Linked DNA regions of Lepisosteus oculatus. The protein of the gene in region 1 purifies or fractionates together with the protein of each later gene. This does not show direct contact. Links are inferred from orthologs where the notes say so. Each region holds a gene or a part of one and is shown on either strand. Other genes may lie near its edges.

The links.
Region 2: the proteins of estrogen receptor beta (region 1) and srsf5a purify together in Homo sapiens (affinity purification with mass spectrometry; 3 studies listed by BioGRID and IntAct, with this or other methods). This does not show direct contact. The link is inferred for Lepisosteus oculatus from reciprocal best matches to the Homo sapiens genes ESR2 and SRSF5.
Region 3: the proteins of estrogen receptor beta (region 1) and psmd1 purify together in Homo sapiens (affinity purification with mass spectrometry; 3 studies listed by BioGRID and IntAct, with this or other methods). This does not show direct contact. The link is inferred for Lepisosteus oculatus from reciprocal best matches to the Homo sapiens genes ESR2 and PSMD1.
Region 4: the proteins of estrogen receptor beta (region 1) and srsf2b purify together in Homo sapiens (affinity purification with mass spectrometry; 3 studies listed by BioGRID and IntAct, with this or other methods). This does not show direct contact. The link is inferred for Lepisosteus oculatus from reciprocal best matches to the Homo sapiens genes ESR2 and SRSF2.

The regions. Positions count from the first base shown.
Region 1 is NC_090703.1:7,980,942-7,988,319, reverse strand, and holds the start of estrogen receptor beta, read left to right. Parts: upstream 1-4,157; 5' UTR 4,158-4,465; intron 4,466-7,378. Other genes in the region: coiled-coil domain-containing protein 170-like, read left to right, coding at 168-452.
Region 2 is NC_090703.1:23,111,182-23,118,569, reverse strand, and holds the start of srsf5a (serine and arginine rich splicing factor 5a), read right to left. Parts: upstream 3,274-7,388; 5' UTR 3,168-3,273; intron 2,002-3,167; 5' UTR 1,994-2,001; coding exon 1,868-1,993; intron 1,756-1,867; coding exon 1,685-1,755; intron 1,340-1,684; coding exon 1,223-1,339; intron 532-1,222; coding exon 462-531; intron 1-461. UniProt on the Homo sapiens protein: Plays a role in constitutive splicing and can modulate the selection of alternative splice sites.
Region 3 is NC_090708.1:8,526,752-8,534,093, reverse strand, and holds the start of psmd1 (26S proteasome non-ATPase regulatory subunit 1), read right to left. Parts: upstream 3,192-7,342; 5' UTR 3,036-3,191; coding exon 3,020-3,035; intron 2,029-3,019; coding exon 1,985-2,028; intron 1,530-1,984; coding exon 1,456-1,529; intron 1,060-1,455; coding exon 890-1,059; intron 479-889; coding exon 273-478; intron 1-272. Other genes in the region: uncharacterized protein C2orf72 homolog, read right to left, coding at 6,495-6,595.
Region 4 is NC_090704.1:35,480,470-35,488,648, forward strand, and holds the start of srsf2b (serine/arginine-rich splicing factor 2b), read left to right. Parts: upstream 1-5,155; 5' UTR 5,156-5,378; coding exon 5,379-5,734; intron 5,735-6,145; coding exon 6,146-6,437; 3' UTR 6,438-6,444; intron 6,445-7,671; 3' UTR 7,672-8,179. Other genes in the region: UNC93-like protein MFSD11, read right to left, coding at 694-789.

The DNA.
Region 1 (7,378 bases):
AGTATATGATTTGGCAGAGGTTCTATATTCTAAAAGTATTGAAGTAAATAAAATCATGGAAATTGCACTCTTGTGTTCATATTTTAGCATTTCAATGCTGCCTAAAACTGAACCAGGGTAGTTAATGACTGAAACCTAGACACTGTCTTTTCTAAAAAAACCCACAGCTGGTGGATTTTAAAGAATGCATCTTGAAGCTGCTGGGTCTGAATGTCAACACCATGGTCGCGCAGGAGAGCGACATTCTGGCTCAGCTGGAGAGGCGTCTGCGAGACTCACAAGGGGGCGACGGGGGCCAGGTGAGGAGAGACAGGCCTCCAGGAGGGACAGCCCCGAGCGACCCCACACCTGGCAGGGCTCAGCCGAAGGCACCGGGCCTGGCCCCCAACCCCAGCGCCACAGTCCAGCACGTCATCTCTGCCAAAGCTGCGCTTCCAGCGAGCGAGTGGTGAATACAAAGCACAGAACGACACCTCCCTCGTTCTGGATGTGCAAAAGTACAGTTCAGCCCTCATTTCAATCACTCAGATGGACAGACTACAGAAGAATGGCTGGCATCAAACACTTGTCCAACAAATGCATTACAGATGCACAGAGACTAACATTTTTATTACCCATCCATTTAGCTTCAGTGTGATTCTAATGCAACTGCAGGTCACTAAGAAGTATGTCTAATTTTAGCTGGTGTGTATTTTCACCCTTAAATAAAGAGTGACAACGAATGCAACATTTAAAGCGAATAGATCTGAGTGAAGGTGTCTACTGTATCTTTAAAAAAATGATTTACATTTAAGATCAGTATACTAATAGTCCCAGTCATATCTATAAGCATATTGCTGGTAATGATAAATCTCTTCCTCCTTTGATCACAAAACTCCTGCTGCAATATTGCAAACCATTGTTGTTTATAAAGGAAAATGGTGAAAGTGGTGAATTACTTCTGAGATAGATGCCTGCCTTTACAAATGTCCAGATACTCTTCACATTCTCCTCCACAGGCTGCGATTATTGAAATTGTAGATACAGTGTGGCAGAAGCCTGTAATTCAGAAATGATTAGGGCAGAATCCTCCGTTTCAACCTGCACATGATGTAATGAAAGACACACCGCATTGCAGATAGCAAATGGAATTCAATTTGCTTTTTGGTTCTGTATCTTCAATGATTAAGGCAAAATGCGTAATTTATGGAACAAATTACTTACCTGAAAGATAAATTATTTCTTGTCTGAATTAAACTGAATGGGAACAGAAGTGAATGTGGAACTAAGAACAGACTGTTACTTTCTTTTGCCATTGTACTGCACAGCTAGGTTCACAAAAATACAATTCCAGTTAACCCAGGTTGAAATACTTGTTCAATTTCTGAATAAAATAAAAAAAAATGGAGATGTCATAATATTTTCAAAGTGGGACCCCATCTGTCCAACGAAATGACTGATATTGAAATACTTAGTTTCATTCTTCCAGCATTAAGTACTGTGATGGAGACAAAACACAAAATAATCCCTAAAAATTGACTAACCTGTGTCTGATGTTACTCACAGCAATTCTGGAAAGATTGGCATCCCTTCATGGGTCACACCACATTTATGCTTACAGTATTACATTCCATGTGTTTATACTGTATGTGTCTGTCATTTTTGTTGTCCGGCTGTTAAAATATACCTTACAAATAAACAGGGAATATTGGGTTCCCTGCTAAGATCCCCCTAAACTTGGCTAATAGAAATGTAGGACATTTATCAAGAATATTGTCTTGCCAGACCTCTAACAGAGGGGGCCTGAGACGAAACAATGCAGTTCTTTCACACTTCATCGGGCTACATGGGCTGTAAATATACAGCCGATAAAGAGCCAAGTCCATCAGTAAAACACCAGAAGAATAAAGCAAAGAGTGAAGAGGGAATCCTCCTCTCAGAGCTCACAGTTCTCCTGGGCATGGCTCCCAAACCACCCAAACAGTTTCAGGTTAGCAAACGGGTTCCGAGTCCCAGGATCCACTGGATTCCTTCTTTTCGGAGTTCCAGATGTTTCCAACAAGTCTATGTATTCTAAGAGCTTCAGTCAAATTACCTGGATCATTTCATTCATCTTCATGTGGTGTTCTCCTTGAATTCTGGCAACATATTTCATTAAAGCCAGTTGTTATATAGTTCTTACCGGGTGTTTTTCTGTATTTCTGGGAGTATTTCTCCCAGATTCGTTTCTCTTTCTATTTGTTTTGAATGGCTAAAATATAAGGTAAAGGAGAACTCTTTAAACCAGGGGTGGCAAATTCCATTTTTAAACTTATTAAAACCTACAGTATATTAGATTAACCCAGCATTAATACATTGAATAACCCACTAGGAATTGATCCCTGAAAATCATTAATATTTTCAGACAAACTTCAGACTGTTGTCTTATATTAATGTTTTGTTTTTCATTTTCTACTTTGTGGGAACTGCTAGGCATTTATAACGAGCATCATGTGCAGAGCCTAACCTAAATCTTATATATTTTCTAAGTCCCTACCACTTCCACATGTTCAACTTTAAGAGCCAAAAAAGACATTCATTTCATATGCAGGTATCAGCCACTAAAAGCAGCCTCTCTCTGAACTAAACACCCAGGAGACCACTTATCCCCCAGGAAATCTAATTCTGCCCTTGGAGAGAAGCTCAAGAGCCAAAGCTTCTTCCTGAACCCGAGATTACTCCAAAAATTGCTGATCAGAAAATAACAAAGCAAAACCAAAAAAAAAATAGAATTAATGAAACATTTACTTCTTTCCTGTTTTCCGGGAAAGAAGAATTTACCTTCTAGCCTTTCTGGGGAGCAGGTTTTTATTTAATGTTTCAGAGAGAGAGAGAGAACAGAGTGCTGCCATCTTTTGGAAGACAACTGTACCAACAAATGGCTTTGACCAAAAATAACTGTACCCTATATCAGACAGACACTATCATTCCTAAAGTAATTTAATAATCTTGTTGTGATTTAAAATCCACTGTCTCTCTGTGAACGAGCTAGCTTTCCTTTTTTCTAAGCAATGCAACATATTTATTCTAAAGACTCACGGGTTGGGCGACTGGTGGCACAGTGGTTTGCATGGGCCCTGGCTGGAGATTGTATTTTCTGCCTGTGTTCATGTGGGTTTCCTCCCACAGTCCAAGGACATGCCTGTAGATTAATGGGTGTGTGTCTCTGTGTGCCCTGAGAGGGACTGGCGTCCCATCCAGGGTGTACCCTGCCTTGCACCCGTTGCTTGCTTAAATAGGCCCTGGCTCCCCTTAGACTCTGAATTGGAAGACGATGTCAGAAAACAGATGGATATCCTGGAGAGACAGTATTTTCCTTCTACTGTTTTTTTCTATACTTGTAACAATCTGAAATGCATAGTGCATTCTCATAGAGCTTGGAATTGTGGATAAAACATAATAATTGAAGACATTCTTGTACTAGGGTATTTTTATATTTGTATCCACAAGGACCGTGAGCACAAGGGAATATAACAGACCCTCCAAACAGTTCAGTTACAGTACAGTATGTGAAAAGTCGCTGGTGTTCACTGCTTTGGCTGGTCTGAGGATCGCTGGAAAAGTTGTTTTTTTTAATGTTGAGGAAGAATATCTTCTAGCTGGTCACATGAAGGCATCTCCTTCGACTGTCTGGAGTGTCAGGAGGGAGTTACTATTGCGAAGAGCATTGCTACTTTTCTCCAAACAAGTGATGAGAACTTGGCCATCTGCACAAGGCAGATCAGTCACTCCATTAACATTGTATCTCTTTCAAAAATAAAAGAAAGGCTTTTATAGATATCGGTCCAGTTCTATAGGAACTCTGTAGAGAATTGGGACATTTCTATTTAAAACTATAAGTCATCTACTGTATATGGTTATTTACATAATGTGGCTGTCTATTTATTAGTGCCAACTCTGAACATATTCTTTTTGCTACATATTCTTTGAGCCCCCTTTGCGCTGTCGCGTGGTTTAGACCTCAGACTGAACACAAACAGCTTTCTATTAAGAGCAAAGCGGAATATGCGTCCCATTCCTCGTTGCAAAAAAGGTCGCAAGTTCAAGGGATGTAGAGGGCGGGTTTTGGAGGGTGTGGGAGACCGTGACGGCAGCGGCCGTCTCTTAAGTGAATGAAGTATTACAGAAAGCAGCAGAGTTACAAGCAAAAAGGGCTGTTTGAGCATCTCGGAGAGAGAGGGAGACTGCGCGCAGCCTGAGCCGCGCAGCTCTGAGTGAGACACGCCGTGAGAATCCTCTCAGCGCTCTCCCGTCTTACCGGTCCTAGGTAGTAGTGCCAGTTAGCGGCTGATATACTTTTTGTTTTACTACGCTGTACAGCTGGACACGGGAGAGCGGGACCTGCTGTTGCTCAAGAAGATACAGTAGTTGTGTACTGTTTCATCCTCCTGCTGAAGGGAATATACCACAGTACAGTGGCCGTTCCTTCAGGTGTGCGAGAAGGCAGGTATGTTCGCTGGCTGCATCTCCGTCACGCACAGAGATTGATTAATCGCCGTTTGTCAGTTTTCAATGGACTCGTACTACGGTTGTGTTTACTTAGTATTTCAGACAGAGTTCAGTCGGTACCAGCATTTTTAACACCGGCAAACATGGCAAGGGAAGTTCTCGTTGAATTGCATTTCAATTGTACTTTAAAAAAAAAAAAGAAAAGCCGTAATATAAATGAGAGAAATATAAATGGTTTACACCTATGCGCAATTCAACCATATACTGTATCTTTTAGGGCTGCCGACTGCGATTCACATGAAGAAATACTGTAGGGTGGTTTTCCTGCTACGATTCACAATATCACAAAATTGAACTTTTCTCGTTTCTTTTAGCTTTGGATATGCTTAGTTGGAGCAAACAAATCCTGTAACCAGTGCAGTGGGTTACTGACTCGTGTGCGTTCTCATTTTTGTTCATATCTTATCTTATATTATGTGTATCTTATGTGATATTCCTTGCGATTTAAGAAAATGAAACATGTGTTGCCCTGTAAGTAGGAAATAAAACAGCTTTATAAATGACGTTCACGATCAGTGTGGCAGAACAAACCGTTATTTATATTAACGAAACCTCCTTGCCGATTCCTCCTGCAGTAGCGAAGTAGTAAAAACTTTAATGTTCTTGTAACTGTACGAGGTTTTTCCGTTATCGATTGGTAATGACGTTGCACACGCGACTAAGTAGCAGTTCACCACCAAGGGCTATCCGTTTTCAGCCCAGTCTCTTCTGAGGCTGAACTGTAAAGTTGTTGCTGTTTCTGACTGGGCTGTTAGAACATGGCAAGATGTTCAACCCGGAGACCGCACGAAAGGGTTGAGAGCAGATTTCTTTTTAATTTATGTAAAAACTCTACACTCCGGGTAGTCAAAAGAAACAGGAAATCGCCCATTTCTGTCATTCCCCCTAACTGTTTTTACAACTGAACCGCTTATTTCGTACAGGAGTTTATTAGTACACTGTTTTAGTCGTTGTGGTCGCTTTCTCTGCTTTTTTAAAGAAACACTTATCGTGTTTCTATTTAGAGTGTTACGGCACTGCTTTGACAGCATTGTTACCCTCTCTTTTTAATTAACCAATTCGTAATGCTAACTCTATGTTACGTTTAGCTCTTTTTTCTCTTTCTTAAAGCAGCAGTTTAAAAGTTGCAGATTATTATTTTTTTAGATCTGGGCCATACACGTTTTATGCTCAGTTGCTTTAAATCAAAGATACATGTTTACTGCGAGGTGTAACAGCCAGCTGCACAGTAATGTGTACAATACCACGGATCAGTGAGTCCTACACCTTTATCGGTTGGAATACAGGTTTTATGATAATTCATCTGGACAACCTGTTATTTCTGAATGCCTCTGCATTCCCAGTGCCTCCCCTTGAGTCAGTGGTATGTAACAGTGCCTGGTTCCTGAACATTTAGTATGTCGGCGAATATTTATTTTTACATTTTAGTTATTTGCCACAACAAAGTTTAACTTTTCCGGTTCCGAAAGAAATAATTCTCGCCGTGAAGTGTGCTCATTTTAGCGGGCGCTGTGAAACAGTCTTCAATGTTTCGCTCACAAAGAGCAGTGAGTTTCCAGTGCTGCTTAAACCTTGGTTTCATTTCCTAGAATGTCTTGCTGTTTGAGTAGAGTAAAATAAGGCGTAGAGTAAAAAAAGGTCTTCGTAAAAAAATGGAACCGTTTAATTCTGTAACTTGTAACAAATTGATTTGGTAGGGAAAACAGCTTTCATTTCCGAGTGTTTTTTTTCTTCAAAAGCACAAAACACTCGACACTCGACACTGGACTTGTCCGAAATTATTGGTTTATTACAGCTTTCCTGCTTTGCAGCGCACTACCTTTTAGAAGCTCATGGATTCAGTGAATTACAAAAGGTGTGGAAATGGTTCTGGACATGGAGTTTGCAGTTTTTGAAATATTAAGAACAAATTAATGCGGTTTTGGAGACGTTTGGTTTTCATACGGCGTACCTCTGCGTGTCCTGAGCAGTTTCCTGTGAAAGCGTGGTGCAGATGGGTGATATGTACTGTAATATCACTTGCAGGCTCCCGGGATGCCCGAATTTGTTTAAATTGGAAGGTCCTTGTCTTTTCCTCTCACCCATGTTTTGTGAAGATAACTATCTACAGGCAAAGTTTCACTTTTTCATTATTATTTCAGTTTATGAAGACGGGGAAACAATGGTTTTGGGGAAAATATGACCCAGGGGTATACACTTTATGTATTGTTTCTGTTCTTTTTTTGAATGTTTCGTCTGTGTGAGTATTTTTTTGTGTCTAATTGATCAAGGACATCATTCACAAGAACTGCATTGTGTCTTCATAATCCACAGCTACAGGTAATGAAACCAAAACGAAGTTCCAACAACTTACACCAATACGTGGGTTATTTAGTAGACGTACTCTATCAGAATCATAAAAATGACACTGGTCAGCAGATCAACTGTTGGGGCTTATGAGAATGATTTATTATCGTTACCATTTCTCTTTTCATCAGATCCGATATAGGCATTGGAGTGTTAGAGGCTGAAACAGGTTTCTGGGAGAGGGACTGAAAACACACAAGTCTCATAATCTGAATACTCTACACCTCCTCCTGAGCATCTCACATAAATTAGAACTGTGGTTCCCCACCCTGGTTCTGGATGAACACTTTGTCTTCTGGTTTTTGCTCCAGTCCATATTCTTAGTCACAGGTTAATGAGAATTACAGGAGTCTGCTTTCTGAAATTAAAGGTCAAATCGGATTTGGAACTGAAATCAACCATGTTCCCATTTCTGAGTTGCAGGGACTGCCCTACAGTACATTCAGGGATGTTGCTTGAAATATCACAAAAAGAACCTCTGCGGGAGAAAATGCTCATTGTGGCG
Region 2 (7,388 bases), about 15 Mb from region 1:
CTCGTTAGAAACTTTGTTTCACTAGAAGATTTAAATCTATAAATAAAGAGTAAGAATCTTCAATGTGTATTGATCAACCTAACTATAAAACAGCAAAAGCAAAAAGCTTCTGAAGTTCCAGCATAGTGGAACTGAAAGGCCAAATAAGTACTAAGGATGAGAGAAAGATACACCTGCAAGGTTAGGGGTGGGGTTGTGAACTTGCTGCCAGACAAAGGTAAGCAGCTTCTCGAACTTCAGCTCTCAATTTGAGATTCCAGAGTGGAAGTCATAAATCTGCATTTAAAATCACCTTTAAAATAGAGGGGAAAAAAGTGTGATGTTTTTAAAACAAATAGCAAAGGATTTTAATTTAAAACACCACTTTATAAAATAATAAAGCTGCTTCATATAACAGAACAAACACTGAAGTAATATGCAATTTCCACAAATTTAAAGTGAATCCTGTTGAGCCTCCTCACCTGCCAACTTATCCGAGAAGAGAGGTTTTCAACAATGATTCTGTGTTCTGTGCGCACTGGGGGGCCATACCTGAAAAAGCAATCAAGACGGCTTTAAAACTGCCTTTTGAAAACAAAGCAATCCATTCCTACAGCTGATGCAGAAAACAAAAGGACTTAATGGTCCCTATACCAACACTGCTACAGAGAAGGGGTGTTAGCCCAGTGTCCTGGCCAAATTTCCTCCTGGCCTTCTAACAACCCCCATCTATGAATTGGCTTTATTACTGCTTTCCTCCCACTGATAACTGATGTGTGGTGACCCTACTGGCACACTTTGCCATTGCATCATCTAGGTGGGGCTACACATTGGTGGTGGAGGGGAATCCCCATTACCTTTGAGTGGAGTGTCTAAAAAGGCACTACATGTGCATTACAGATCCCCAGTCTCACACTTCTGAGGTCCCCTTTTCATATTACATGCTAGTGTACCTAAAGATCATTCTAAAAACTGAAAGTCATTTTAAAATCCAACCAAATCTGATTTTCTTTTACAATATTACTTGCAACTTCTAAACCTCTACATACCCAAAACATTTCAGAACATATAAATCACAATCTATTCTCATTTTATGACTGGGGGGGGGGCTCTTTGCAAAACATTTTAGGATCCCCAAATCACAACATATTTTGGGGTTCGAGGTGAGGTTCCAACAGAACGTGCTGTCTGGCTCTGAACAAGTCTAGAAACGGCGAGCTGTTGGCAGAAGACGGCTGCTTACCGTGAGCCACTGCTGCGAGACTGGCGATAGCTGCCAAAGCGGGGAGAGAACCTGCCACCTCCTCCAGCGCCTCCACCCCCCCGCCCTCTGCGAGAGCGCGCATGCTCGATGGTGACCCTAAACACATCGTAAGGCACATAAGGCTTGGGTCAACGAGAATTTCAACCCAACTTAAATACAGTACCATAGGAACAGATTTCATGCCAATCGAGGTTTTATTTTGCCAGACACCTAACCAAGTTGTACAGTCTTCGCATTCTTGGGACAGTGATCATGCCTTAAAGCAATATGTTAAAAATCACTTTTACATTAAGGTGATCAAAAGTATACATTGGTAGTGAAATCAAAGTGTAAAATCAATTCAAGCTGATCAATCCCAACATTCAACTTTCAACAAAAAAATTCCAGTTCAGCAACTGTAAACAGCTGTAACTTCTAAGGCATACAGATTTAAAAATATACCTTTCACTGCAGAGTTCCTTGCCATTTAATTCATAGACTGCATCATCACCATCTCTGTGATCTTCAAACTCCTGCAGAATTAGGAAACAGACAAAAATTGATGCTCTAAACGTTCTTATAAGACACAAGCAATGTGAGCACCCGATTCGATAAAATATGATACAAACACACTAATAAACTTACCACAAACCCAAAGCCATTCTTCAGGCTGATTTCCCGAATCCTCCCGTAGCCTTTGAAAAACTTCTCCACATCCCTCTCCCTGGCGTGGGGACTCAAGCGCCCGATGAAGACACGACAACCGCTCATGTTTACAGCTGCACAAAGAAACGAAGTCTTAGCCTCCCACAATATAAATATCAACTTTCCAATCATAACCTCCATTTCCACAAAAATGTAAACCGGAAAACTAGCTATTTTAAACGTTCTCTCGATTACATTAAGAGAATAAACTAATTAGACACTTCAGCAGTCTAGAAACACGTTTAACCAACGCTTTAAAAAAAATAAAAATAAATTAAAACACGTAAAAAGTCTATTTGTAGCAGACTATGTATGTGTAGTTATACCTACGGGGGATTAAGCAAGGTTCCAGATGAGTTGAATTTTTAAGAGTTAAAAATTGTTGAGGCTACAATACAATCATGAAATGCAAAGCTTCCAAAACGCCACATTAAAATCTAAAACGGAAATAAGATGGAGCAGCGGAAGCAATCCTTCAACATGGATACGTAAACCCGCGAACGCCACGGGCCAGGCAGCACGTCCACGCCGTTTTTAGACCAAGCCTCGACGCGCTAGTCAGCTGACAGGAGCTGCAGCTCACACTAGGCCTTCTTTGGATCCCCAGGGGTGGCTGACGTAGCACAGGCCTACGCAAATCGACCAGCCCCTCCAAAGAAAACGCGAGGCCTGCAAAGCGACGTCGCCCATCACGACCACTGCAGGGCCTACGACACGCCATCTTCGCATCCAAACGTATATATGCTCAAAGGCAGCCATTACGGAACTTAACATAACGTAAATTCAACCAAACAATAAGAAAAAGAAAAATGTACAGTTTTTATTTTTTCCCCATCCCTGAGCCACTTTACCTAGCCTTTAACATGTAAATAACAATAAAAAACTACGTTTCGGATTTTAACTAATCGCTCAGTTACCAGGGTTAAAGTTAAATATTCCCAAAGCTTAGAGATCTTTGTTCATGAAAATGTGGTTCTTCTATTACAGGAACAGAAAGCAAGGTAAAAATATCGAGATCACCGATCGACAAATGCGGCGCTGCAAACAGCGCCCCTCATGTTGTGTAAGCAAGAGAAAATTGGCGAAAATGCCGATTAAACACGTATTTTTTACACATACACTGAATACTACTGGCGAGCAATCAATTTCTGTATTATTGCACAATATAAAAAGAAGCTACGTATACTACATTTTAAACAACATTTAAACAATGACCTTCGCCGACTACCCACACACCTACCTACTGCTCCTTCAGATTCTCCGCTGGAAAATGGCGACTGCGAGTCCGCGAGCAGTACAGCGGAAATGGGCGTCAACGGACGAGGCGTATCCAAATTAGCTAGTGGGTGGAGTATGGAATACAAACATCCAATCAACAGTTTTTAAGATGGTTGCGTCAGTGATCATATAAACACGTCACGAGCTAAGAGTTCTGAGACACCACCCTTTTTTCCTCTCTCGCGAAGTAAACACGAGAATGGGTGTAGTTGCTATAGCGAAAACCAAAACCGAATTCACTGTAATAGTGCGGACTGTCTATACTATGTTTTTATGTATGCGAAACTGTATTAATGTTTATCATACATAGTTGCAAGGAAGTGTTTGGGGAAAAAAGACTTGTATTTGTTGTCTAGAATAAATATCATGGGAGTCATTTTAGAGTACAACAGCGTACTAGAAAAAACTGCTCGGTTGTTTCAATGTAAAGGTGGTGATGCTCACAACGGGCCTACCACTCCTACCGTTACAGCCTTATGGTATTGTCGCTATTATGGGATTATGGTAATCATTTTAATAATTACCAATAACGAGTCATGATGTGAAAAAAAATGTAGTTAATTCAGTTATATTAAAACAAATGTATATGTACATCTATCCATTTTCTAACCTCTTTATCCAATGCCTGGTTGTGGGGGAGGCAGTGCCTAACCTGGTAAGCAATGGGCACAGAGCAAGATAAACCAGTTCATTGCAGAGTGCACTCGGACACAAACACATCAGGGGCAGTTGTCCCAGTAGCCAATTGACCTACATGTAGGTCTTTGGTCAATGGGAGGAAACCCACCCAAACACAGGATAGCATACAAACTACAGAGTTAGCACCCCAGGTCTGGGACTGAAACCAGGACTTTAACACTGAGAAGCAGCAATACTAGCCACTGTGTCACCGTGCTGCCTGAAATAGGTACAGTTAAATACATTTTTAATGACCTCCTTGCGCATTGTCATTATTGTAAGAAGGGAAACAGAAAACTAGAGGGAGATGTAATTGGGTGTCATTATATGGAATTTGTCTCCGAATGCTGAATGTTCTCAAGATTTGTACACTGAAGGACATTGTGGGACCTGCAGTGATACAGATGTATTCTGCCTTTTGCCATCAGAGCAGCTATTTGCTGCAAGCCCACTTCAGTTAACGTTCTCTGTGGTTATTGCTGACACAGGACAAGAGAGAGGGATAACATATAAGGCTAATACTGTAGGGCACAACCACTGTGCCCCAGACACAACCTTAGCACATGAAATATATACAGTATATATGAAATTCACTGGCCTGTAAGAAGAGCCTTAATTCATTCATTGCTCTAGTGACCATTCTTTATGACATTCAACATTTCAAGGGACAGTCAAGGCACATTGCCATCAGTCACACATGAATATGATTTGTAATTAATTTAGGTATTGGCCAACATTAGCTTATGTTTGTAGACACACATTCTTTTGCTGAAATCACTACTGTATGTGGGACAATTATATTTTAAAGCATCACTGGCATATCTTGTTACAATCCTCCTGAAAAAGGAAAAGGATTCTGCAATTGTGACAAGGCACAGTGACTAGTAACCACTTAAGAGTTATTTCATGCCTTCTTATTTGTTTCACTAATACGTGATGAATTGTAAGATGTGTATGCTGTGTAATTGAATCTGGGTACTTTATCTCATCAAAGAGAAATATGTTTAGTTAGGATTTAGAAAGTTGCAAAATAAGTGTGAAGGAATCCAGTGAAACTGAAATGATTATCTAGCATCTATGTTTTTGTTTTGCAGAAGTTTGTTGGAATTGTATCTTACAACACATCAGGATTACTATTGGAAATCAATTCCTTCTGTGGAAACTAAAGATTATTTCTATAAGGGCCTGGCCTTAATGGCATAGTGTTCCTCAAGGACAAGCTTATTTCATTTTTCACTTCAAGGTTCAGGCAGCTCAGTTGAGTGGACTATACCAATCCTACAAAGTGGAAGGGAGTTCAACTACACGGCCCAAGGTCAGAGGCAAGTCCTGTAACTACAAGATAGCAACATCCCCCCCAGAGTCAGTGGGACAATCCATTTTACAATCCAGAAAAAGCTGAAAGGAACACAAGAATTGAGGCATTATTCAGAGAATCAAAGTTTCAGTGGAATCGACAGTGCTTTCTATACTGTAGTTTAGCTGTTAACACACTTTTTATTATATTCTCCTGGCTCATTGATGATTCCAAACAATATACTAGCTGATGAGAAAACATAACAACAATGAGAAATTTTGCAATCAATTCCTATGTGACAAATTGAGTGTAGACCAAAGCAGAAGTCTACGATGTTACCAAAGCTGTTTTCTAAATCCTATTTTAATAAATTAACAAGAAAAGACTTACATAACCTATTTGTCTCAAACATACTTTCAAATTGAAATTCATTCAGGGTTAATTTGAAGTGAAGCAAATAAATAAATAGCAGGACAGTTTCATCAAAGACTTAAAAAACATGGAATTGAAAACATTTAATGCAATTTCCTTCTTTGACTCTGTTTTAATCATTTCAGATTGGCAAAACCTACCTGGCCAATGTACTATACAATTAAAACAAGCACAGTGGTCTTACAGATATTCTTGTTTGCACAAGATATGAAAGAGGAGATTGGAATACAACTGAAATAAGAAATACACAAGATAAAACTAACAAGGTCACATTAGAGATCTGTGTTTTTTAATTAAAAATATGTTTGCTTATTGTATGTTCATTAAAGGGATGATAGATATGCATTCTCCTGATTTTTTGGTTTGTCTATGAACATTTCACAAGAGCAGAATATATTTTAAGAAATTAATATCTTTGCTGTGTGATACACATTCAGACTGCAGACAGCTGCTAATATATTTCAATGTCATTAAAAAGTCACCCCTAGCAAATGTAAAAGTAATGTAAATTGCATTTAAATGTACTTCAAGTAAGACATTTTATATACACATACTGTAGATATGGGAAAATAAGCACTTTGTGAAAGACCAGACAATTACATTTAACAATAGGTCATCTAATAACCTGACACAGTTAATGACTGGACCGAGTAAATGAACAACATGCACAGGTGAAAGATAGGTATCACTTTTTATTATTTAGTTCAGAACAAAGGCATGTCAGAGAAATGTCCTTGGACAACAAGGTGTCTATGCAGACAATAAAAATCCTATATGATCACTCTGGGGCAAAACTAATTCCATGTTTTCAATAGAATAAAGTGTCAGTAAGAAAAGTTTGTTCAAAATTGCACATGCTGTGTCATACTGAAAAAACTATGGGCTACTGCAGTACCTGATCAAAAGCAGTAGGATGTCACACATATTCTATCAGACAGCTCCCATATAATGGGTTATACTTATATTTGAGTTATTGCTGACAACTGTACTTTATCACACTTATCAAATCACATTTCAGAACTGCCATGTGTTGTGCAGATCAGAGGTTTTCTGGGTTGACTAGTTTAATGTTATATTTAATGCTTTGTCCCAAAGGTGTAATAATTGTCTTTAAAATGTTGGCAAAATGTAATAAAGATCACATTGGCGACTGGTAGGTAGACCTTTCACAAAATTAGATAAAAAGGCAGACAACTGCTGTCCAATTTTGAAATGATCAGCTATAAGCACAAGCCTTATGTAGCTGGATAGAGCACACAACAGAGCTCCACCAGGAGATGGGCATAATCAGCTCATCTGGCATTTGTGTTGTGGTCCTGAACCACACACAACACAACAAAACAGCTCTGACTGAACATGAGTCTAAACATTTCATGTGGCTATTGTGTTGTGGTCCTGAAACAGAGAGATCAGTGTTATATACTTGCCATTCAGCCAGTCGTGTAGTGCGTAGTGCTGACTACAGAGGTGAGGCCGATATACTCACTGAACAGCATAGTTGTGGACACAAACCAGCAACCTCTCAACTGCAGGATTCTTCCAGTATAGGACCTGCTACTACACCAGACCATTCCAGAAAACAGGCGAGTATGCATTCACAGAAATGAAGGGCTTCCACTGCAAAGCACTTTACAGGAACAGCTGTTCTCTTATTCACTTCAGTGCAGGAGGAGGAAGATAATAATTAAGAAGGATAGCCTCATACTATAACCACTATTTTTAAAAATATTGTAAGACATTACCAGTACGTACTTGCAAAGATAAGAAAGGATTGCA
Region 3 (7,342 bases), on another chromosome or scaffold:
TTCCCATCCCATGCACATCTTTACTAGAAAATGTTGGGAGAAGTGCAGGGAATACACATATCAATACCACTGGAAATGCAACAATTAAAATATTAGAACTTATTAATATAGTTTACCATAGAACTCCAATGCAACAAAACAATAAGAAATTACAGATTGTACTCCATAAACGATCACTAGGAAACAAAGCTGTAATAACGTTGTGTGTCCTACGTTAGAGAGACTAAAAAGTGTAGGATGCTACAGTTCAGCCAAGCGCAGTCAATGCTTACAGACTCCAGGATGGTCTTCTCGAAGATGTCCAGCCGACGAGTCTCAAGGGCAATGCCAATTGCCTGTTTGTACTTATGGTCACCCAGGCAGCGCAGAAACATTTTGTTAACAATGCCCTCCAGTCGGGGGTCAATGCTTTTCCTCTCATCATCCGGCAGCTCTGCATTCTCCACACGCTGCTTTGTGTAGTAGTCAATACATTTTGCTGCATGAAAGAAGAAGCAATGGATTGAACTGCCACTTCCCAGCACTTCAGCTATGACCGCCAAATGCAGTTATACACTTGTAATGTATAAGCGTTAAGTGGAGGGATTCCTTTGTACAAGTGTTTCTTTTTTGTCTTAATATTTTATCTTGTTTCTGGAAATATTCAAAGTGGCCCACTTTGACATAACAGTTACAGGGCAGGAAACAATTTAACAATTCAAAACAACTGTCCTGGTGTTACAACTAATTAGAATTAATTCTGAAATTCCACCACCTTTTCAAAAGAGACAGAGGTAAATCAAATATGCAGAAAGAAAGAGTAATAATAGGACACTTCAACATTTTCTAAACATTTACAGTCTGGTTCATCACACACTTCGATCACTATCATTAACACTTCTGAACTCACCGATGATAGTCTCCACATACTCAGAATCGTCATTGACATTGAACAGGTCTCCAGCTCCCAGAGCGTAATTCAGAGACTCTTCAAACGCACCCAGATGGTAGAAAACTTTGGACGCTACCAGTGCTGCAAACTCCCTGCTACGGAACGTCTCATCTTCATAGAGAACCTCACTTAAAGAGTAACATAAAATGATCAGACCAAGAAATGTCTATTTTAATTATTACTGTAGCTGTAACAAACAACATATCTAGTGATAAGTACCCTAGTTTACACCCAAGGCACAATTAACTAATCAGACATCAACGGGATAGAAACAGTTAGCTCAGAGGAAGGTTTAATTATGTAACAAGGAAACCAGCTCCAAGCTTGTATAATGTAATATTCACGGCAAATAATTTCAGATGTATTTTTATATAAAACCTATTGATAATTGGAAAGGCTAAGCGTGCAGAATGATTTATGTATTTAACCATTCTTGATATGGCAAGGAAATGACATTTAGAGAAGAGACAAGTTAATCTGTGAATAACAAAGGTAGATGAGACCAAAAAAAAAAAGATTCTTACATTTTACCAACAGATTCTGAAATCTCAGCCCAGAAATCATTGACAATGGAATTCAGCTTGTGCAGAGCAAACTCCTGTATCAGAAATATTCAGGAAAACAACATAGGATACTTTCATGACATGCACAACACACTGCAGATTTCACAGAACTGCCTTTGGCAGGTTTATCGTCTCATACGATTATTATAGTCAGGAAGAGAACAGTTTAACTGTGCTATACAATATAAATAAGAGTCCTGAGGAATTAAATAAAATTCATAGTAAATTAAAAATTACAGTACAATTATATTAGAAGTTGGCATCATTAAAGTTCAATGCAGTCCCAGGGTTAATATATGTGATCGATTCCCATAGGTACTAGAAATGAAGTTCAGTACTCCTGCTTATACACAACTATTATGCACAAAGTGTAAAGATCAACAAGAACAGTGTGTTTCTGTGATTCTCAGATCAATGGACCTCTGTTTTTTTACAGTATATGCACAAGCTTATTTCTGCAAATAAGGTGTACTTAAGGCAAACAGTTCACCTTGAGCTGAGGCTCCTCTTCATCCAAAAGAGAGATTATTCCAGCTAAAAAAGGAAAGGAAATGTGTCTGAGTTGACAAATACAGCTACCAAAATGTTTAACACTAAACTGTAGAGACGTGGATCTGAACACATGAATGACCTTTAAGTATACCACGTTAGTAAACAATCAATCTTCTGCTCCAGTAAAGGCATGTAAGAAGGTCATCGACAGATTAGTTACCAATGATAGCACTGCAATACTACTGGAAAAGGTGGTCCAGCCTCATTATGTCTAGACGAAAAAATGCAATATTTACAACAAATAATTGTATTTATAAGAACAAGACAAACGAATGTATGAAAACAAGTCTGTACACAATCTTACAAATGTTACGCAAGAGACAACTGCTCTACATATTTTTAGCTCCTTTGACCGATTGTCTAGAAATGCCATCCTATGATCGTACGAATGAAGTTGGATGGTAGACTACATCTACCACAGTTAGAATATACTCTGGTTGCACATCTGTACACAAGGTACATAGGAACCACAGAATCAGCGGGACGCGCTGAATTTCCTGTAAACAAACACAACTACAAGGCTACTAAAATAACTCGTCAGCTGCCATGTGGAAAGTGACCAACATTGTAATGGGAAACACAGTTATGTGTGTTGAAACAGGTTTGTTTACAACACGCGCAAATACACAAAGACTAGAAAAAAAAACATTTTAGTAGTGAACTCGGATGGTCGTATTGGTACTTTTCCGACACACGGCGGACAATCGTGGTACGTTTGTTTTTCTTGTTATTCACTTGTTCCGTGTTATAACGAGATCAGCAACAACTGATTGTTTGTAAAATGTCCCATTAAGGGTTAGGGGGTCCAATAAAAATATTTTACATTGTTGTACTACGTTTCATAATGAGATACTGTACAACTTAAAAGGCAAAACACACTTATTTGCATCGCTCAGTCTTTTGACTCTGTGACTCAGCTAAATCTACCGGGTCGCAATCAACTGCTTAAGTCACATCTGCATCCTCTCCTTACCCGCTGAAGTTATCATGTTTGCTGAAAATCCCTTATTACTCCTCCGGTCTCGACTCTTCAAACAATAAAATGTCTTCGAAGAAAAAAAGAAACACTTTCAGTCAGCAATTACTCGCCTCCCGCTACCTACTGTGCGACACTTTTCCTGCTAATTTTTGATTCACAAAGAAAGTCCTTTGACAACCGGGGGCCTTCCAATATGTTAAGACTGCCCAAAACTGTGCCTGATTATTATTAGATATACCTCATTTAAAATAATGAGTTTGATACAAAATTAATATATTATTCTAACAATAGTCACATAAAATGCAAGAATAAGCATTTTAAGATCACATTTAACACTTTAAGAGACGACATTTTATATTTTTTAAAACGGGCATATTCTTTTCACTTCCGAATACTGCTGACCAATAGCTTAACGACTTTTTTTTACTAGCGGTGATGAATTCTTAACATCGCCCCCTACACAAAGGAGGGTATCTGTTCCAAAAGTAAGGTATAAAGCTGTTCTTGGTTATTGTTTATCCTGCATGTAAACAAAAATACATCAAGTAGAATACGCTACATAAAAACAGCTCTAGAATTTAACGTTTGACATATTAGTAGTAAGTAGTCCGGTGTTTACACGCACTATTTACAATATTCAGCTCTTAAATTCTCTTTCAGTTATGAAATCTTTTCTCAAAGAGAAGTACATTTCACCGGAATTTGACAAACATACCCAGTTCAATTTGTAGCCAAAAAAAACTAATTTAGAATCTCCAGTTCCTCCTTTAGAATAAAGTAAATGTTTGGTAAAATGACACGTATATCTGTTTCACTATACCCGTTGCATATCTTTTTTATATCAGTACTAAATTAGCATTTGACAATGTACCTTGGAATGCTTCATTGTTTAACACTTTCCCCTTTAGAAAATGGAGATAAAATAGCAGAGTCATACAATAATGACTCATTTTCAACTGCCTGAAAAGTATGACTAGCTTAACATTAACAGACCCTATAAGGCACCTAATTTCTCGCTGTTCAAATGGATTTTATCGTCCTTATAAGACATATTTCTGAAGATTAACTGATGAATTCAAACACTTCAAATATTAAGAAATACATTGGGAAATTTCTGTCAGTGAAACATTTTCATTGTAGAAAGTTGAATAAAGCACAAAATGTAAAGGGAGCTTCTAGTACTAATGACATGGAAATTAACTGATACCTTAAAGCTGCTAAGGCTAAAGAAAGCCAAAGTTATGTCTTAAGCCATTAAACCTGTTGTAAATTGTTATAGGTTGTATGTTTAGAAGTGCTAAGCAATGAACAGTGAAGTGACATGGGTATAGCACTCAGGATAACTGATTTCCAGCATTAAAAGCATAGCAGGAGCAAAGCTGGTGAACTTTTAATTTATCACAAGTTTGAAAAGGAACAAACAAGACACCTTTAAAATGTGAATTTCATTTAATTACACCATTAGCAGCATTTTATAAATTATTTAAAACAAATTGATCAAATATTAAAACAATTTTATTAAAACAACACAAAATAATAAATCTTGAGACTATGCAAGTAAAAATAAAAAACTGCAAAATAGCTATATAATCTTTTATTAGTTGAATCCATTACTTCTATACTTCCCCACATAGATTGACAAAAAGCAAAATAAAAAGGAAATGTTCACAATAATTTGGAGCTAATAAAAAAGATTGTCTGTTTTTATAGCACTGATTATTATTTTAGAATGCAATGCTAGCATAAACTTCACTGGTGTTACATATTACTGGGTTAGCATTATATCGTACTGTAAGATTACTAAAGATTAAAAAATACAAATGACAATATACAATGTTCTTCAAGTATAGAAGCATCAGTAATTAAAACCTAATCAAATATATAGTACTTTTACTGTGTTTATATTTGTAAAATAAGATTTAGTTATCTTAAACTTCATCATTTTTTTGTCTATATATTTTTAAAGATACATAAATATTTACAATAGGTAAGAACAAAATAAAGGTTACAAAGGTTCATTAGGTTCAAAGGCCATTAGGTTCCATATATATCAAAATGAAAATGTATCTAAAAAGCCCTGAGTATTATCTAAGAGTACATAAAATTACTTTAGGTGCTAAATACATTAATCCTAATGGATTCACGCTCTTGATAAACCATAACTAAAACTTCATTTAACAAGGAAAAGTGCAGGTCTACCAATATTTCAATATTTAAAAATTAAAATGATAATGTATGAAAGGGAGAACTGAATATGTCATTTCCATAACTGTGCAAAAACAATTACATCCATTTTCTAAATACATGATGTTCAAATTCATTAATATACTGTAAAAATTGAAAATTTATTTTCAGTATTTTACTTATCTGACAGCAATTTGCAATTTGCACCAGCGATCATTGTAAACTAACTTTGAGATGAATCAGTCTTTCAGCTGATATCAGAGAAATTAAATTAAACTCAACATCTTTCCTACAGGTATCTCAGTTTCAATTAATTGACCTTGTTAGAGAAATTGAGATACAGTACCAATGTGTTAAGAAAGCTGCAGAACAAATCCCTAGAAACTAGTCCTTGACGGTTTCACAGGTTTATCGCTTTCCTACTAAGGACTAACATCTGTTTGAATCCAAATCTTCTTTGCATTTTAAGATTTCAATATTTAAGTTGTACAGTACTTTATTTACTGCTTAAAACAACAGTAAGTAAAATACTGTATCGTGTAATATAGACTAAGACAGCAGTGTGGAGCAGTGGTCAGGGTTCTGGAGTAATTGGAAAGTTGTGGCTTCAGATCCCAGGAGAGACGTACTTCACCTAAATTGCTCCAGTAAAAATACATTTCCAGCTGGGAAAGTTGCTTTGGGTATAAGTGTCAACCAAATAAATTAAAAATTCAACATTTTGTAAATATGGACAATGTTGACAGGGACACAGATGAACCACAGAAATGAAAGCTCATTTCTAAAGGGGCTCCTGCCCTTTGTGATTGCCAGAGATTTCCCAATCCTTCATTAATATTTCTACATAACACACTGGCATGTGTGATTACTCCAGGAGATGTGGAGAAACTCAACAAGTCTCCTCTTCATGAAGACGGATGTGATGATGCATTTGTAACAGACCAGGGAGCTGCAGACAATATATCTGCTGAGGACTCTCCTGATCTTACACACACTTGAAGGACAGCATTAACCTTGTATTTGTCCTTTATATCCAGCCTGATTCATTTGAGTTGGTCTTTTTCTTCAACTTCTCCTGATAAGAAGAAATATAAACAATCAACCGCTCACTAAGGTCTTATAAGACTGTCATGCCAAGAAATCAGTTTCCAGTTACAATTTTCTGAGAACTGCAGCTATTTTGTCTGTAAACTGGCAGTGAATGCCTTGTAAACGTTAGTATCTTAAGCTGAGGTCAACACTTTTACCCCAAGTCACAAAAGATTGCTCATTGGCTCAGTTTTCTTCAGGCCTGGCTCTCAAGACTGTTCACCATGGAATCAATCTGTCGGAGGTCAGAGATGGAACTTGTCAGTGGGATTCCTTCTTCCGTATCCCTTAGTTTACCTAAAGGAAAATCCAGAAAGACAAATAATTCAGGAATGTCCATTCTTCTTGAGCAAACTGCAAATGCCTGGATATGAAGAAAAAAAACAAGGAATGATCTAAATCACAGACCTCGACTCTAGCTCGCCTCTGCATTTTAAAAGAAGTACAGTACATTGGCATTGTGAACTTTTCTGTGGCCCTAAAACACTACAAATGTAGCGTGGTTGGTATACAATTTAGAGAAATATAAAAGAAAACACAAGCTGCACTCTGCAGTCTATGGCTAGAATTTAAAAGGCACTTGTGAGTAAATGTTGTAAGAGTAGACTAAGGAAGAACACTCCTCTAAGCAAGATAATGCCAAATTCCTTTCATTCTTATTCGATTTTTACACGGCACCCTGTTTTTAAATTTTGACACATGTATCAACTGAAATATAATGAATATCAAGTACAATTTCCTTCTTTTACGTCCCCGACAACGAAAAAAGCTCGTATCGCTTTATTCTTGAAACATTATTAATAATGAATTGTCTTAAATCAAGTGTTATTCATTTCTTTTTGGAAGCAATATACAATATTTGTTATATGTGTATTTTGTATGCAGTAAATCACATTTAATACAGTACAAAGCTAGAGTCGAGTGCAAATTAAACCTGAGTGGTTAGCGGAGATTTGTATAAAACTTTCACGTTCTCCGGAAGAGTAAACCACATTGGCACAGTTCATGTTCCAAGAAAAAAAAAAGATTTTCCCTTTAAGATTC
Region 4 (8,179 bases), on another chromosome or scaffold:
AGTCTGCCTGATGTATTACTTCATCAGAGATGTTGCCTAATTTCAGAAGGGCATATTTACACTATCTGATCAGAGGAATCATCACTACTGAAAAGTATTTGAATTCACATCAAGTATCTAACAGCACATCTTTCCTACTTGTCCAGAATCTCTTAAAAACAAAGGAGGATACACTAAACACCTAGTTCAGGTAAGACACCTTCCTTACTGGTTATATTGGATTTTAGGAGTTGGATTATTATCTGTACTCAATGGCAATCTGATGGAAAGCCTAACTAGACTAAAGGCTCTGTGAGTGTAGGAGTTTCTTTTCTCCTTGTGACAGTAAGACTTTATTTTAAGCAACTAGACTGTAAAGTTTGAAACATCAGCTGTTCTGAACCGAGGAGCTCCCTCAGGCTGACATGAGTGGACACAAAAATATAGCGGCGTGTAAAAATCAACATTGCCCCTCAGTAAAACATCTCCGACGTCAGGTCTGTTTCTGGGTTTTTGATCTGAAGTTCGGCGTTTAGTTTGGAAATAGTTATATATTTGGTTTAGTGAATGAATTACTAAACATAGTGGTGGCTGGGATAGCGTCTCGCTGCCAAAGACTAAAAAAACGTTGAAGAAAAGGTGTTGCTGATTCTACAATAGCGATCTTGAGATCCTTTACCCGTGAGTGACAAGGACGTGGATCAACTAACTTACCTCCACATTGCCGCAGGTTTGAAAGGCGGTAAACATAAACATAAACCCGAACCCCAAGATGACGATATTAAGAAGCATCTTTTTATCCGGACCCATCTCGCGATCTTGTCCTTGTACCCAGCGAAGGGACCTCGGCAAATCCTACAGGGTGAAAGACAGCAATCAGTAGTTATGTGCCTCAGAGTTCGTGTCGTTCACAGGTATGTACACCCTGAAACAACCACACAGCTGTACCAGGAAATCACTAGTTTCACCGCAATAGGGGCATATTATACTCATCGTGCGTTTGCTTGAAATCACCTCTACCTCCTGAGATATGAATTAATAATACGGTTGCGAAAGCATACCTCCGGATAATATCTATGCGGCGTTACGGGACGGGCGTGGATGTCCGCAGTTCAGCTTTTCGTACTGCTGGTAACCATTCTGAAATCGTCTCAGCCCAGACGAAGAGTCAGATGATCTATCCGTAGCTACGGTTTTCCGTCGGGCATGGAAACTATAATCCGCCGGTAATAAAGTACTGCAATTTACTGTGTGTGCAAGACCGAGACTGATGAGTTGTCATGTGAGGAGCTCAGCTGATCTGCGAGACCGCAGCAAAGAGGCTTCTGGGATGTGTAGTTTTTTTAATTTACCTCCCGCTGAGCTGCGGCCGCAATCGAGTTATAAAGAAACAACCAGAGAAATTCTGGTTTCCGCCCAGGCCACAGAACTGAAACTGCATTAACAAGAGATTTAAATGATATTCTTTTAGCAACTGACGCAGGGAATCCAACAGTGCTCCTAGATTTTAGTGCTGCCTTTGACACAGTTGACCATTGTATTTTGCTACACGGGCTTGAGTCTGAGGGTTGGCCTATGTCCTTAAGTGGTTTACCTCCTATTTAACTAACCTTTCACTATGTTAAAACATCTAATATTTTTACTGCTTTATCACTGTCACCAGTCAAATTTGGGGTACCACAGGGATCAGTGCTCTGACCAGTATTGTTCTCTCTGTACGTTGCCACTAGGTAGGATAATACGAAAGCATAATATTACCTTTCATTCCTATGCTACACTAAAATATACATTTTTAATTTACACCTAATGACAACTTGTCAATTGTCACTTTAGCTAATTGCATTAAGTGAAGTCTTGGATGTGTGAAAACTTTTTGTCACTCAGCTCTGATAAAACTGAGTTTCTGTTGTTTGTGGGCTACTGCTGTTGTTTGGATAAGACTGCTATAACCTCAGCACTCAACTCTGAGGGTTTAAAACTTTGCCTCAAAGATTCGGCACGTAAGGCTCTCATTTAACTCTCATGTTAATGCAGTATCGAAGGTGTGCTTCCTATAGGTAAGAAAGATTGCAAAACTAAGGTATTTCCAAGACACAGAGAAACTAATACATGTTTTTGTATACAGCAGATTAGATTAGTGTAATGCCCTACTATCAGGGATCACCTATCGAACTTTCCATACCTTACAGCGAATTCAAAACTCAGCAGCTAGAATTGTTACTAGTAGTAAAAAGTATGGCCACATAACAACTATACTTAGCTCTCTCCATTGGCTTCCTGTCAGGTACAGGACAGACTTCCAATTTATTTTACTTACTTATAAGGCTCTCAGAGGTCAGGCACCTGTCTATTTAGTGGAGCTGATTAATGTATACAATCCAAGTTGCCCACTTAGATCGCAGAATGCAGGTCTTCTTTTTATTCCACATATTAATAAAAAAACAGCTGGCAGTAAAGCCTTTAGCTACAAGGACCCTAGTTTATGGAATAGTCTGCCTGCCTACGTACGGGATGCCAGGTGAATCAAAGGATTTAAATCCAGATTGAAAACCTATTTTCAAACTATCCTATTCTCCTCCCCATATGTCCAGATGGCACCCTGACTGGGCATCATCTGAGTTGGATGCTGCATCACCGCCATGGATCCAAGAAGGACATTGCGATTTGCTGGTCTACAGAGATCTGCATGGAGTACTGACACACATTGAAAGTTGATTATAAATGACAAATTCTTCAATGTATTTGGACATTTTTCAGTTATAAAAAATGCTAATTAAGTGCCTATCTTAAGTGCTCACTATCACTATCACTTATCATTTTTAGTCCTGAGTTAGGGTGATGCAAACTCCAAGTCTGTCATAGGCTGGAGTGAAACTGAAAATGGTGCTCTGGAGTTGTTAATGTATTATGTGTTGTCTTAGTAGCAATCAAGGATAGAGTGTCTGTCCCTTATTGTCAGGAAGACTGTCACTGCTTTTTCGCTAGCCAGAGCCGGACATTGGACACATATGCTAGTCTGTATCTGTAGGAATTGAATGTCTGTATTTAATCATGGAAATGAAACGTGTACATGAATCTACATGAATGTTTATGAGATAAAATAACCCAACTAAATATCAAGTAGAGTAATACGCCTATATAAAATTGTGCTGTCAGGTTGTGTGATTCAGAGTTCAAAATAATACATCAGCCCTTAACTACAGAAACTGATTGAATATCACATGCAATTAAAACATTTTTACAGTTTTCTTATTCTTTAAATTATTTAATGTGTTAACATTTTTAAAGAGGAGAATAACCAATAATCGCTTAAACTGGTGTGTGCTCCATTCTATCAAAAAAGAAAGAACAGAATCAAACGGGACACACACATTTTCTCACATTCAGGAAACCAGTAAGGAGTCTCAATTTTTACACTAGAATCTTACGCTTTGCTCCAGTCTTTGGTATCTCTGACCCCGGAGACAGTGTTGTAATAGGTTTTGGAAAGCACACAAAGTACGCGTAGTACATAAATAGACAGAAGGGCACAGATTTAGTTTCCACACCAGTTTCATAGTTTGTCATATGCTCTCCAGTTGAAGAGGTTAGTCTACAATCTTTTAAATATTGCTCGTCCTTTTACCTTCACTGTACAATGCTCGGTATTTTAGTATATCATATATTTACAATTACTGTATTTGTAATCACAATGAAATTATTTTTTTTAAAGCCTACGTTTTTGTGAGGGTAACGAGAGTTCGGCGAGGGGATACTTTGTGGAGACGCAGGAACAGGTGTAAATGTCCAGTCTCTATCGGCTAAGTAACTTATTACATTAGATCATATAAACAGTAACATTCAAAACCGCATCAGCTAGTTTAATTAGGTTCTCACATGAAATAGTTGGCTTCATATTATGCTTGATTTATTTATATTCAATTAATGTTTCGGTTATTGACACTGCACGTGCCTCGTGTAACTTTCGAGTTAATTTACTATGTATTTTCTGCATGGTGTGCTTTGAATGACATACAACGGCATGCCAAGATCCCAAAACTCACATATACTGTATAGTCTATATTAAGATCCTGTGAACTTATTCCTTTTAAAACGTTATGTTTTTTTAGAAGTCGAGTATTTACGTTTACTGTTTATAATATAAAACGATATCGATAAATGAAACGATAGACTACTATACTTCTGCTGCTACGATTACTGTGAACAACAACTCTATAGTCCTACTGTTACTGAACTGCAAATGCGGTACCACTAGAATTGTACTACTGCTATGCTACTACTGCTTCTAAAATTAATAGTAATAACAACGATGACAAGTGTACGTGAACTTGGTCCTCTGGGCGGTAAAAAGAAACTTAGGGCCAATATCGTATTTTTAAGTTCCTGGTTACATCATCAGGTTATTTTTGCTTGATTTAAATACATACAGTACTAGAACCACCCTTGCCAGATCTCTTCTTTAATCTGTCATTGAACTATAAAAGAACTGTGTACATTCAGTAACCATTCTGTAGAGTAGAAACCAATTTTAACCTACAACGTAGTGCTCCAATAATGCCCTAAAACACGGTTTATTTTCCACCCGTATCTAGATTTTTTTGCATTTTACTAACTTTCTCTCTCCTTGTAGTGTGGTTTAAAATCTGAGAGGAAACACAGCTGCAAAAATATTGACTGTTTCGTTTTAATGGACATTGGCAGATGCATTAAACTATAATTCATCGTTTCATATACAGTAATATAACTTATATTGTTACTGAGTTATAACTTTGCACGGTGTCATGTTTCGGTAGTTGTTGGCATTGTTAATCGATAATGGTTCCTAATCTTGGAAAAGCTCTGGACAACATGACTAATGACTGAAAGAACAGGAAGGCAAAATTGTACCTCACATTTCATACTAAGAGATAAATACTATGTACTTTTTAACACTCTACGTGGAGTTTCAATCGATTTTTCAAACTTCCCTACTAATGACCGTTCATATAATTAACTTCCGGTGTCACATCCGGTTTGCTAGGCAAAATATCACCAAAAACAAACTGAAAATAACAAGATTTTTATTTTAGAAATATTTTTACAGACTCAAAAGCGATGTTTATACCGTAATGTGTGGATACTGATTAATTTAGAATAAAATAATAATAGTTTTAAAAGAGTGTCTATAAATAGCAGCTTTTGGGCGCTCAATCCGCCATTTGGTGTGGAGAGCGAAAGCAGGGCTTGTGGTGCTTTGTTGGTGCGCGTAGCGTGGTTTTTTGTACTAAGTGTTACTATGGTTATTATTGGGTAGATTATCAGCTTGAAAATAACGACAGTGAAAGTACAAGTAAGTAGGGTGTCTGAGCGGGTTTGAGTTTCTAGACGGTGTGTTTTTGTTTTTTTCCTCTTGAGACAAAATGAGTTACGGTAGGCCGCCGCCCGATGTCGAGGGCATGACTTCCCTCAAAGTGGATAACCTGACCTACCGGACGTCGCCGGAGACTCTTCGGCGGGTCTTCGAGAAGTACGGCCGGGTCGGAGACGTCTACATTCCCCGGGACCGGTACACCAAGGAGAGCCGCGGCTTCGCCTTCGTCCGTTTCCACGACAAGCGGGACGCCGAAGACGCCATGGACGCCATGGACGGCGCGGTGCTGGACGGGCGGGAGCTGCGGGTGCAGATGGCCCGGTATGGCCGGCCACCGGAGTCGCACTACGGCCGGCGTGGCGGCCCGCCTCGGAGGTACAGTGGCTACGGCCGGCGGAGCAGGAGGTGAGGGCTGGGCGGTGGAGCTTCAGCGGGTTAAACGGCGCTGGCTCCGGGGCTAGATAAACCGCATTGTGGGGGAGACTCCTGGATGCAGAACAAAGAACTGCAAAGTGTAGTAACGCGCGCACACTCTGCTTTTATAGAAAACGTGGGGTGAAGTTCGACATAATCTGCATTCAGGTTACATTTTGTGGAGGGATCTTAAAGATTCTCCACTTATGTGAAGATCTCCAGTTATTGGTAGTGCTTACGGAAAGTAATCTTTCCTGATTAGGTAAGGGGCTTACACTGAGTCGCAGGGGAGCAGGTAGTCAAGTTATGTATCGCCTAGATGGCGATATTCCTTCCGTTCAAAAAGAAGCGATATTTATAGGAGGGGCCAAGATAAGGGTTTGCGGTCTTTTCTTTTTGCAGTCCTCGCCGCCGTAGACGCAGCCGGTCCCGAAGCAGAAGCCGTTCCCGATCTCGCAGCCGATCCCGCTATAGCAGATCCCGCTCCCGCTCCTATTCCCGGTCCCGATCCCGCTCCAAATCCCGCTCTCCACGGAGGAGCAAGTCCAAGTCCGTGTCCAGATCCCGCTCCAGGTCCAAGTCCCGTTCCCGGTCCAGAAGTCGCACGCCGCCCTCCAACAGAGACTCCAAGTCCAGATCGAGGTCGAAGAGTGTGCCCAAGTCCCCAGAGGAGGAAGGAGCGGTTTCCTCGTGAAGTTATGGTAAGTGCAGCTGAATGAGTACATTCGTTGGCATTGGGGCATGTGAGTGAGCAGCAGCAGTAGGGCAGCATGTATTTAACACGATTGTACTGTTAATGGTAAGGGGGTAGCTGTTGAGGGAGGGTGTTGGGAGTATGGCATCCTTATGGTTTGCTTCAAGCATGATTTAAAAAGCTGTTCTATAATAGTAGTCTTTCTCCAGCCTTTTGTATCGGTTATGTGACACTTCTGCCTAAAAGGCAAGACTGAGAAGAAACTTTCTGGAAGAAACCCAAAAGGTTTTGAATTTTCTTGCTTTGTGATGTTAACTGAAGGTGCAATAGATTGGAGAAAGCTACTTGACCTGTACATTTCTGAACTTGCCGTAGTTTGTATAATGAATATACAACTTGCATCACTTTGATGTAATTTTTGAAAATTGTTCAGTTTCGGCAACTTGTATTTGTACATGAAGTAAATATTTTGCAGTTAAGACTGGTACGGAAGTAAAATATATTCACCAAAAATGTGGAATTTTCTCCTCCAAGCTGCTGTTTCCTGTTTGCAAAAGTGGAGTTTGGGGCAGTTTGTGCAGTTAGAGGTTGTGTGATCCGCCCAGGGGCCGCCTCCTGCTGTTGGGGTATGCTTTGGAGCAGGTCGGTCACAGTCAGTAATGAGGTGGTGTTGAGGTACGTCTGCAGGACAATGGAGAGGAGCCTTGCATTGTCCTCCAGGTCATGCGGTCATGACTGTGGGCTCACACACTAAAGCAGGAGAGTGAAAAGGTTTGTGCGCCTATTTGTTCATGTCAGGGACATAAAGGTCAAACTATTGTTTAAGTAAAATTTGCACTTTCCCCAAGACTTTTTCTAAACATTGGACTTAATGTATAAAATCCCTTTACAGTAAAAATACAAACCTATGAATTCTTTGGTTGCCTTTCCTACATCTATAGGCTGGTTATGGTGCTGGTTCTACACAAGCACTGAATTTTCTTGTCTAAGCCCTACATTTATCAGTAACTTAGACATTGGCATGGCTGAGGAGTGTCTACCACCTCACTTGCAAACTTGAAGGTAACGGCAAACTAAATGATGACTTCTGCAGTTAAACTGAGTTAGTCTTTGAATGTATAGTGATTTTTAAGTTTAATGTACAGTATTAGATAGTGCCTCTGAAGTAAAGGTAGTCAGCCATAACGCTTCTCTTGCCTTTGCTGCTTGCTCACCCCTTTCTCTTTCTTTCTAGATTGTTCACGTGAATGACCGATCCCACTGAGGACACCCCATCGAAAGTAAAGGTCTCAGGCTGAGGACCCCCCTTTCCCCAAGAGAAATTTGCTGGCTAAAAGGTTATTATTGTAAATTAGTTTCCAAGGTTTTAAAGGAGTTTCTTTTGCTTTGAGTTGCCTAGAATAACGAGGCTGATTTTTATTTTGTGCCATGTTTTCCAATTTCTTGTAATTCACTGAATAGGAAGAACGTCAGATACTTTATGGGCTTGTAAGTGAGGTAATTTGTTTTTCTGTTTTAATGTGATGCAGTGCTGAGGCTTTTTGTATATAGTTTTGAGTATAAACACGTGGCCCAGGGAGCATATGGTAGTCTAAAAATGCTATTTTCCAATTTTGGCTTTGCAGAATAAATTTGGATATTTCTAACATTTAGGTGCTCTTATTAGCACACATTTTTCTCCAGAAAGAGCCAGGAGAGAGCTGATTTTTCTCAAATTAGGATTTACCAATATTGAGTAGCTC